Ovis aries: one gene and its partner. The main gene of each other region encodes a partner of the protein of the gene in region 2 in a complex. Links are inferred from orthologs where the notes say so. Each region holds a gene or a part of one and is shown on either strand. Other genes may lie near its edges.

Region 1 (5,186 bases), on a different chromosome or scaffold from region 2:
CCAGTCCCCAGTCTCAGGTTGTAGATGAGGAACCCACAGCCCAACGAAGCTCACTGGTATCCTCACCTTCCAATTCTTAGGTGGGAAAATGATCTTTTCCGTGTCTCTCTGCAGAGGCCCCTTGGTCACCTCCCCTTGGCACCTGAAGTCTGCAGAATACTGAGGAAGAAATGTAGTCCTGAGATTTCCTGCTGGAGAACCCAAGAAGGAGTCTAGGGTTCAGTAGTTTAACCAGCACTTAGAAAGTACACCTAACACTTCTGCTTTAGACAGAGCAGACAGAGAAACAAACTCCTCCTGAAGGCTGTCCTCTGGTCTGGAAGACAAAGCCCGAACTTTGGCAAAATAAGGAGTGTCCAATACAAACGGGAACCTAATCACTTGCTGATGAGACTATGCTTGAGTGGACTGACTGATTTCTGGGCAGGAAGAAAACAGTCCTCCTCAACTTTATCCATGACAAAACAAGATTAACAAAGGCACACAGTGCCCTTCGGAAAGATTTTCAACACCCTGGGCTGCCATACGACGCTAAGAGCAAGGATTCCACTGTTCTAAAAAACTTTCAGTTGCTTTTTGAAAAGAAGTGTACAAAATTTATTACTGAGCTGGCAAAAATTATTAAATCAAAGCCTGATGCTATAGATATTCAAGTACTCCAGAAGCTAGAATTTAGAGCAAAGAACTTTCCTCTTAAGAACTCTCTTTGTCAGGGAGATGATCAGAAAATGTTACTTTGTTACTTCCCTAACTTTTTAGATACTTGTGGATATTAAGTCAGCTCCCTGACATTGACTTTTCAAGCAAAAGTTAAGTTTGTTGTCATAACTGCATGCCCATAAAGGTAAGCATTAATGACACAATTCTCAGTCGCTTGTCTCAAAAGAGGTTTAATTTTAGTGTTGGCTCTTCAACGCTGTCCCCATTTTTATTTTCCAGGAGCATCTTAAATATGTGTCAACTAACTATGCAGAAGTGGAGTTTCTACTTGGGTAAGGCAGAGAAGAGCAGCTGTGTGCTGGCAATGCCTTGATGAAGCCACCTAGCTCTCACCTGGGCCCAGTTCAATCAAGAGAAACTGCAGAAATATGGTCACACCATCTCTACCGGCAACCTATTCCTCCACAGCTCTGAGTTTCTCCGCGGAGTTTGCTCCAAGCCACACTCCTGTCAAATGGCTTGTAACAACACCCAGGAACATCACTGACAACAGCAGCATTTAAAGGAGGCACTTTCTCATCACTCATATTCAGAGACAGTACCCCGATTTTATCCACTACACTTACATCAGTAAGACTCTGAGTCGTCCCAGAGAAGCCACGTGAAATGTGCACTCCATGATACGGAACACATCCATGGGCTTGGACCCTCTTCCTCCTGTTCTCCTAGGAACCCTTTAGAGTCTTACAAAACACTGGAACCCCTGAGGTCACCGCCCCACCTAATCTACAACATGGTGACTGCCTGTTAAAGCGCCTCCTGATCCCAAAGCTCTCCTAGGTGGTATTAGGATCAGTGCTAATATCTCAGCAACCATTCAGAATCTCTGCAAGGCAAACAAGCACATGGAATTCGAGAAATTACACTCTGAGGTGAAAGTCATCAAGGCTACATTTTTCATTTCACTTGTTTTATCCTCTACTTTTTCAGTCTTGGGAATTGCTGCAGCACCAGTTACTGCAAAAATTCTGCAAGGTTTTATATAGCTTGTGCCTACTCCACCCCCAAAGTCATAACAAAAATGTATACAACATTTGTTAAAGACAAGTACCACCAAGTCTATCTTCATGGGGCCTGAAGACCAGGAATTACTTATGATACAGAAATCAGTCTTATAAAGATCACAACTCCTCTCTTTCTACCAAATTTGTACAATCCAACCATGAATTATTCCCACAGTGCTGGCTAAAACCTACTGCTAAAAGTAATCAGCAAAACTCATGTAAAGGAAAAGCAAAAGTCCCCACAGTGACAGAAACCTAAGTTACCTGGCCAAGCCGAAGATGGTTTATTTCTTCCATCCCCAGCACATTAAAGTGGTTTCAATGGCCACTTCCTGGTCTCCCAGGAAATGCAGGGGCTCACTTCATACCTGGATGCTACAACATCTTGCCATTGCTGAACCTGCTCTGGCCACAAGGGAAAATAACCCCTATCACGGACAACCACTCAGAGAAAATATGAGAATTAGATAAATCCTTCCCAACACACACGGTGAAGGGCAGGGGAGATCCCTCCACAAACAGCAGCCTCAGTGGAGCAGCACCTGAGAAATCGACACCCTGGGGTTAACCCTGACTGTCTAGGTCACAAACCAACAGGCTAGGGCCCCACGTAGGGGGCACACGAAGAAGGGCTCTGGGTGGAATGGGAGAGCACATAATCACCTCTAATTCACTACCCAAAAGCGGGGCTCTGCCTTGGTCTGATACGCAAGGAATACTTAGGCCCAGAAAGGTAATAGGAAGAATCCCACTCTCTACAAGATCATCTTCCGTTGGCAGCGACCCCAAGAGAGACCCAGCGAAGCAAGTCCACTCTCAGAACCGAAAGGGACTCTCCACGAGCCTTGGGCACCCGGCTAGGTGTAAAGGAGGCCAGGGGGGCTCCCTTCGAAGCCAGAAAGGTTCTTCCAGCCGGGAGGCAAGGTAAATAAGACTTCCCTCCTCATCGATAAGGCCGAGACACCGGCGGCACGGGCTCCCCGAGTCCTACCCCGGACACCAGTTGCTCACAGCCTTTCCCCCTCCCCTCCCCCCCCGCCGGGAGGGCTTCCCGGGGGTCGCGGGTACTATGGTAAGGGCGAGGTGGGCAAGCACAGTCAGGAACAGCAAGGGTCGTAGAATTAGGGTGGATGAGGGGGAAAAACTCTAGTCTCAGCTCCCATCTGCTCCCTTCGCCCAGGCCGCATTAAAGCCTCGGCCTCACGTACCGAGCGCTGCCGGGCTGCCCGACCAGCCCCCGGCCCGGGCCCGGGGGAAGAGAGACAGGGATGGCAGCGGCCCTCAGGGGCAGCTGGGTGTCCGGGGGATCCTTCGGAGCCCGGCGGACTAGGAGCACTAGGGAGGGGGAGGGTCCTGGGCCCACGCGGCCTCCACTTTAACCCGTGTGAGGAGTACTTACGTTGCTCTGGGGGTCGATGGCCTGCAGCAGCCGGTCCCTGATCTGCTGCGGAGACGGCGGAGCCGCTGTCATTGCCTGGGCGAGGCGGGGGGGGAGCGGCCGGGCCAGCGGGCGGGCGGGCTGAGGCGGGGAACCGGGGTCACTCACTCGCCGGCCTCCGGGAGCGGAGCCTCATGTTCCCCGCGGCGCCGGGGAAAGAGGGGGCGCGCGGGGTGACGGAGAGGTGAGCCGGGGCCGGGGCTCAGGCCCGGGGCGCCGCCACCACCAGAGGAGGAGGAGGAGCCGCCGGAGCCGTCGCCGCTGCTGCCGCCGCCTCGAGAACCAAACTCCAGTGAGCTACCCCCGCGCGAAGCACTCTGGGTAACCCGCGCCGCACGCAGCGTCGGCGCCACGCTGAGGAGGTTGGGAGATAGGGCGGGCAGAGACGCTGAGTCTGGGCGGGGCCACCTGCAGGCCACGCCCCTAGACTCCACGCATGCGCGCGCAGGCGCAGTCGCCCCCACCTCTGTTCCGCCCCACCGCTTGGCCCAGGGAGCCGTTGGGAGGCGGTTGGGCGGGGCAACGGCCGCCGCCTGGAGGCCCCGCCCCCACCCAAGCCTGGAGGTTGAGGGGGTGGCGGCAGGAGGTTTCCGACGGAAACGCTAGGTGAGCGCCGAGTCCTTGAACCCTGGCGCTCTGGGCGGACAGGGCAGATGAAGGACCTCACTCCTAGGGTAGAAAAGCTTTTCCCATTCTGACGAAGATGACGGGAATCGCGGGCGGGAGAAGCTGCCAAGTTTCCTGCGCCCCGGGGTCCTTCCCAGCTCCTCTGCGTTCGGGGAGGCCAGGAGGCAGACGTCCACGTTGTAATTCTGTGCGCGGAAGGGTCAACTGAGGAGCGCTGTGGGACGCTCCAGAGGGGGCGGTGCGAGTCGGGGGTCTGCAGCGCCTCGGGCTACGATCCCCAAAACATGAGACAGCAAAGTGTCTCACGGAGGAGCCGCTACCGCAGCTAGGAAAGCCCCGAGGCCGCATGAGTTGACACCAACGTTGCAAACCTGTGTCCACTCCGGCGTTTCTCAGCCTGGGCACCAGTAACATTTGGGGCTGGATCACTCTGTTGTAGGGCCTGTCCTGTGCGTTGCAAGATGTTCGGCAGCATCCCTGGTCTCTGCCAGTAACACCCTTTTCCTGCAGGGGACCAAAAATGTCCCCAGTCACTGCCAGAGGTCACCTGGCTGGTAGAATCGACCCCTGTTGAGAATCACTGGTTTAAAAGACCTTCCCACCCTGCTTTGCATGGTGGTGCTGGAAAACTGAAACACCCTTACCAAGGAGGAAACTGAGGCCCTAGGTCACCCAGAGTTACCGATCAAACCCAGAACTGTTAAATGTCAAGTCTAAGGGCTTCTCCTGGCCCCTCGCCTCCTCATTGCCTTCTTTCATTGCCGGCTCTCCGTGGAAGCTCTTATTACATATACGGTTATGCAAACGGGTAAGAAAGGCAGGTGAGTGAGTGGATCATTAGCCGCAGCCTCGAGAGAAATAACTTTTCTTCTTGTTACAGGAAGACCTACATTTAAAACAGGAGAGAGGCAGCTGATGAGAACCACATGCGCGCCTCGGCGGCTCTGTGCTACACCTGTTAGTCTTCCATTTGTCATGCTTCTGGGAAGCGTTTTTATTTGCAAAAAACGGCTGCTGCCCCACGTGGTTGTGGTTGCCTGCTCCTGCACGTGTGAAAAGTTTTACATCACACTTGTAGGATAAAATAAATATGGGCAAATTACCTCGCTTTAATTTATTCACTCTCCCTGCTAGAATGAGGTGCTTTGTGTACACGGTGTCCAGGTTGGAAACCAGCCCATTTGGAGATACTTTTTATCTCACTACAGATAAAAGAAGCCCTCCCCCGAGTATATTCGGGTTCTGCCATTATTTTTAACTTCTTGTCTTTTTAAATCAAGGGTCCTTAGAAATAAGCTGCTTCCCACCCCCGCTCCACCCAGCCCCCCCAGCATGATTCAGATTAAGAAAAAAATCTGGAAAGCACTCCATTGACCTGCTGTTAGTAAACTAAGAAG
Region 2 (5,003 bases):
TTTCAGTAAAATAAAATAACCGCAGTGAAATAAAACATGAAGCTGAATTTTTGTCTGGTTTCACAGTAAACAAATGTTCCACCAAAAAAATCTCCATTTGTAATACAAATGTTTTTAGGAAAAGTATACAACATTGCTATATCTTTAAGTTAGAAATGATAAGCTGCTTTCACCTGATAAGTCATGGTGAATTAGGTCAGCAAAATTGGGGTCTTCACCCCACCAAAATATCCACAATTCTCTTCTTCCAGGTCTCTGATCACGCCGCCAAACACCAAGTACATCTGCCTTAAGGCAGCGACTAAAACTGCTCAAAATGGGGTCTTCCTCTGTCACCGGAAACAGAATAGGGGCAGAAGTTGGGCCTTGCCACACGTATCTCTTCCATTTAATTCCCGTCAAGTCAGCCTGAGGAAAACAAAGTATGATTTTTTTATTATTGCATATTCACTCAAAATCGAAAGTCCTCACTATTAAAGTCCCCTATTTCATTAAGACATTACAATTTTTCAACATATCCTTGAGATACTGAAAACAAACTGACCAAAAAAGAAAGGGGGGGGGGAGTTTATTCTGATAATTCAACAACCAAAAATTAAAGGAAAAGAACAGACACTGAAAAAATTAATACTGACATGTCACTGAATACAAGTCAATAAATGTGTCCCAAGGATAAATTAAAAAGCTTTAATAATGTTAAATATAAACACAGACTTTAATACTGCACACTGAGTAAACATTTGCTCTCAGTCCTAAATTCTGTTCTTACTGGTTACATTTGTTTCTTGGTATCAAACTTACTACAAAATTAACTTTTAAAGATTCATCATTCCATGTTTACAGACGTCACAGCTTTAAGGAAAAGAAATCTCAACTACAAATGAAAACATTCTTGTTAAATCTTTACATATATATCTCTTTAAGGAAAAGTCAAATAGCTGCTCACAAAGAACTGTCAGATTTGTGCTAGTCTTATCTTCAAAGAACCCGATCCTAAAAGTACCAAAAATAGACTGAGTTGGAGAAGACAGAAATGTAAAACCTGCTGTTTGTCTACTATATCTGAAGAGATGCTGATTAATGGATATTGTACAAGAAACATTTTATAAGGGGGAAAGGCATTCAAGATCTCAATTTAGTATCGTAAAAGAAATTATCAGCATGAATTCAGTAATTTTTTAATCTAACTTAAAAGTGCAAGCTTAAGGTGCCAAAAATGAAACTGCTGATACATGACTGGCAGTTTACACTTGCCAACTAGTTGTGCTCCGCCCACTCAATTCACTTACCTATCACACACTCTTAATATTCCTCATAGGACAGGGAAAATGAAAAAAAGAAAGTTACCGAAACTTCAAATCATTGATGAAGCTAAGCTCCTATCCAACTGCAGACTGAGTATTTGCAACAGTTGGTACTTTTTAAAGTCTTTATTCAGATGTTCCCAGACCGGGGCCAACCAACACAACTGCCATCCGTAGAGCCAGCTTCCCCTTGACTTTTCAATAAGAGGAGCAGCCTTCTGTATAAAAATATTTAGTCCAGAACCATAGCATCTCTTCCATAAGTTCGCTCCACTCTCACAAACCTAATGTTCTAATAAAAGCAAGTCGGCTAGAGACTGTCAAAATCTCCAACTGCTTTCAAAGTTTAAAAGAAAAACTACGGAATGGCATTCACTGTTTTTTTAAGAGTCTGAAGTCACCCAAGGAACAAACGAACCCCCTACAGTTTGGCTCATCTTTATAAAGAACAAGCACGTAAAATTAAAAGAGTGCTAAGTTCCGGGGTCTCGTTTATCGGGGGAAAATAAGAGGAGCAGAGCCAGGCAGTGGGAGAGAATGGGCAATAATAGAAAGTGGCAGAAAAGGGATACACGGTCAATAAGGAGACAAGCAACAGTTAAGCCAGCAACACAGGAGGGAAATGCCGCTGTCCTGCCAGGAAAGGAGCCCAAGTTGGGAGACAGGACCGCGGGCGAGAAAAGTGTCGGAAACGGGAGAAAAGGCCGACGCTCCTAGGGCAGCCCGGGCCGGCGGCTCCGGGCCGGCGCGGGGCTCCCGCGGCGCCGGCTCGGGCCGGGCCTCGCCCGGGGACTCGGGCATCTGGATCCGACCCGGACCCCCTCCCCCACGGCCCAAGGGCGCACCTCGCGGCCCCTCCCCCACCGCCCGCCCGCCGCGGCCCCCGCCCGGCACTCACCAGGCAGAAGAGGTTACAGTGACAATCTTCCAGGCTGGCCCCGTTCGGCACGAAGGAGGAACTCATCGTCCCTCACAGCAGCCGCCGCCGGCGCCACAACCCACCATCCGCCATTACCGCCGCCTCCGACCAGAGAGAGAAACAGACACCGGGGAGGGCGGGGGGGTGGTGGTTGGGGGGGCGGTGGAAGAGGAGGCCGCCGGGCCGCCCGCCCTCCCCACCCACCCCCCCGCCGCCGCGAGCAGCCCCCGCCGCCCGGCCGGCACCCAGCCGCCCGGGGCCGAGGGCCGGAGGCGGGAGGGCCGCGCCGCGCTCGCCCCGCCGGCCGGGCTGCGGCCGCCGCGGAGCCCGCGGACGCTCGTCCCTCTTCGGGGGACGGAGGGGATGTGTGCCCCTGCCACCAGAAAAAAATAATAAATTACAGAATAAATAATTAAAAACGAGTCCGAGAGGGCAGAGCCCGAGCCCCGGAGGCTGCTCCCGGGGCGGAGAGGCGCCCGCAGAGGGGCGGGAAGGGCGAGAGCCGGGAGAGAAGCCCAGGCCCCCGGCCCGGCGGCGGCGATGTCCTTAAGCCCAGAGTCTCCTCAGTGGCGGAGGTTGGTGGCGGCGTCTGCGGGCTCAGACCATTCTCTGGCTGTGTCTTCGTGTCGTCCCTGAGCCAGACCGGCCTAACGTCCGCTCTCCTGCGGCCTCACCGCCGGGACGCCGTAGTCTCCCCCATTTTGTGGGCCCAGCGGGCGGTGTTTTTCCCCCTTTAATCCGAATTCACGGGTTTTCCCTTCGCTTTAATGGCGGCCACAGGGACCAGCTCGCCCTCTCTGCTCGCCCATTGGCCGCCTCGAGGTCACGTGGGCCCAGGCTCCGTGGGGAGGGGGAGCGAGAAGGGAGTGAGAGAGGGCCGGGAAGCTTTCAAGCGGAGGCGCTGAGCCCCGGGGGACGGGGCAGCCGGCTGTTGGCCACCGAGACAGCGCCATCTGCTGGGTGCCCCGGCCAGTGTGCGATGACCCGGGCCCTGGCCCTCTCTCTCTCTCCTTACCGGGCAACTGACAGTACCAGAGGGTTCAAATCACAAATCTGAGAATTACGTTGAAATCAGTTTGGATTCTGTGGAAGAGAAAAGTACTGCAAAAATTCCAAGCCAATCTCACTTATTCCTCAAGGCCGTTGGGGTGCGGCACAAACCCCTGGGCTTGGGCGTCAGATCCTCTGAGACCGGACTCGGCCGCTCGAAAGTTGGAATATTATGAAGGAAACATAAATGAAACAGTATAGCCTTGTGGTTCACAGCCCGGGAGTTAGAGTGACACTGCCTGAGTTCGAACTTTGAGCAGATCACTTACCTGCGTTCCAGTTTACTCATCTGTGAAATGAGGAAGACATGTCTCCCTCACGGGTTGTTGTGGTAAATGAGTTAATACAAAGAAAACACGTAGGTAAGCCCAGTGCCCAGCACAGATAAACACTGCTTAGAGTTGTCTATTACTGCTGTCATCATTACCTCGTGTGGTTATTGTGAGGAGTAAGTGACCCAAGTGTATGTAAAATGCCCACTGACAGTGATCTCTCCGTGAGAACCCGCACTTACTTTGCTTTACCGCTGCGTCTCCAGTGTCTCAAAAAGGTTCCTAGCACACAGTAGGTGCTTGATATTTGTGAATTTGCGACTGAATGGAAAGAAGTAGGAGCCAAATAAAATATTCGTTCCGTTCCCAAAAAACATTACAGTTCTTGATTGGATCATACTTCAAAGTAGGAACTCAAGACGTTTTTCCTAAGTTTTAGAAGGGAGAGAAGGGGAGAGAGAGAGAGATGGAAAGGAAAGAGAGCAGCGAGGGGAAAAGAAGGGAAGAGGGGAGAAGGGAGGGAGGAAGAAGTAAAGGTGATTCAAAAAATTGGAGACATCATCGAGTTAGGACTTTACCATAATTTTTCATCTTAGTTGCCTCTGTAAAATGATGGTGGATTCTTCTATGCCCCTTATTCAGCCACAGATTGGAAAGCCTTCCTCCTGTATTGATTCATATATGGTAGTGAAGACCTCAGATATTGAAGCCAAAAACCTACAGGAGGAGTTCTGCCACTTACTAGTTGATCTTGGATCAAATTTGACTTTAGATCAAATTAATTTCTCCTGCTCTCAATTTTCTCATTGTGAAATAGGGATAATAAAAGTACTTTCCTCCTAAAGTGTCTGGTGGATGAAACATTGCAGACATAGGGTTTGCCACAGTGCTTGCTAAATGTTATCTGTTAATATACCTTAAAAAATCATTATTGAGCACACTCATATGAATGTGTTCCTGGTCTGTGCTAGGCCTGGGATACAAATATGAATAAGATATATGCATAACCCTCAACACTGGCCACCTGATGCAAGGAACTGACTCATTAGAAAAGAGGTTGAGGCTGGGAAACATTGAAGGCAAGAGGAGAAGAGGATGACAGAGGATGAGATGGTTGGATGGCATCACCGGCTTGATAGGCATGAGTTGGAGCAAGCTCTGGGAGTTGGGGAAGGACAGGGAAGCCTGGTATGCTGCAGTCCATGGGGGTTGCAAAGAGTCGGACAGGACTGAGCAACTGAACTGACTGAACTGAACTGAAAGATTCCTGAAGCAAGGCAACAAAGGAACCATTTCCCACAGGATAAGATAAAATACAATGTAGGTAATTGCTTGAATAAGGTATGTATCAACTGGCACAAGAGGCGTGCTGGAGGAGAACCAAAGTCAGAGAAGGCGGCTCAAAGTAGGTAGCATTTGAAATCAGATTTGAAGGATAAAATGAATTCTTATAAAGCC

What was found. The genes of interacting proteins can lie anywhere in the genome.
Region 1: MED13 (region 2) and MED26 share a complex: the UniProt entries of both Homo sapiens proteins name them as parts of the mediator complex. The link is inferred for Ovis aries from reciprocal best matches to the Homo sapiens genes MED13 and MED26.

The regions. Positions count from the first base shown.
Region 1 is NC_056058.1:6,188,719-6,193,904, reverse strand, and holds the start of MED26 (mediator of RNA polymerase II transcription subunit 26), read right to left. Parts: upstream 3,457-5,186; 5' UTR 3,196-3,456; coding exon 3,124-3,195; exon of another isoform or gene 1-3,123. UniProt on the Homo sapiens protein: Component of the Mediator complex, a coactivator involved in the regulated transcription of nearly all RNA polymerase II-dependent genes.
Region 2 is NC_056064.1:10,737,173-10,742,175, reverse strand, and holds the start of MED13 (mediator of RNA polymerase II transcription subunit 13), read right to left. Parts: upstream 3,002-5,003; 5' UTR 2,269-3,001; coding exon 2,203-2,268; intron 409-2,202; coding exon 174-408; intron 1-173. UniProt on the Homo sapiens protein: Component of the Mediator complex, a coactivator involved in the regulated transcription of nearly all RNA polymerase II-dependent genes.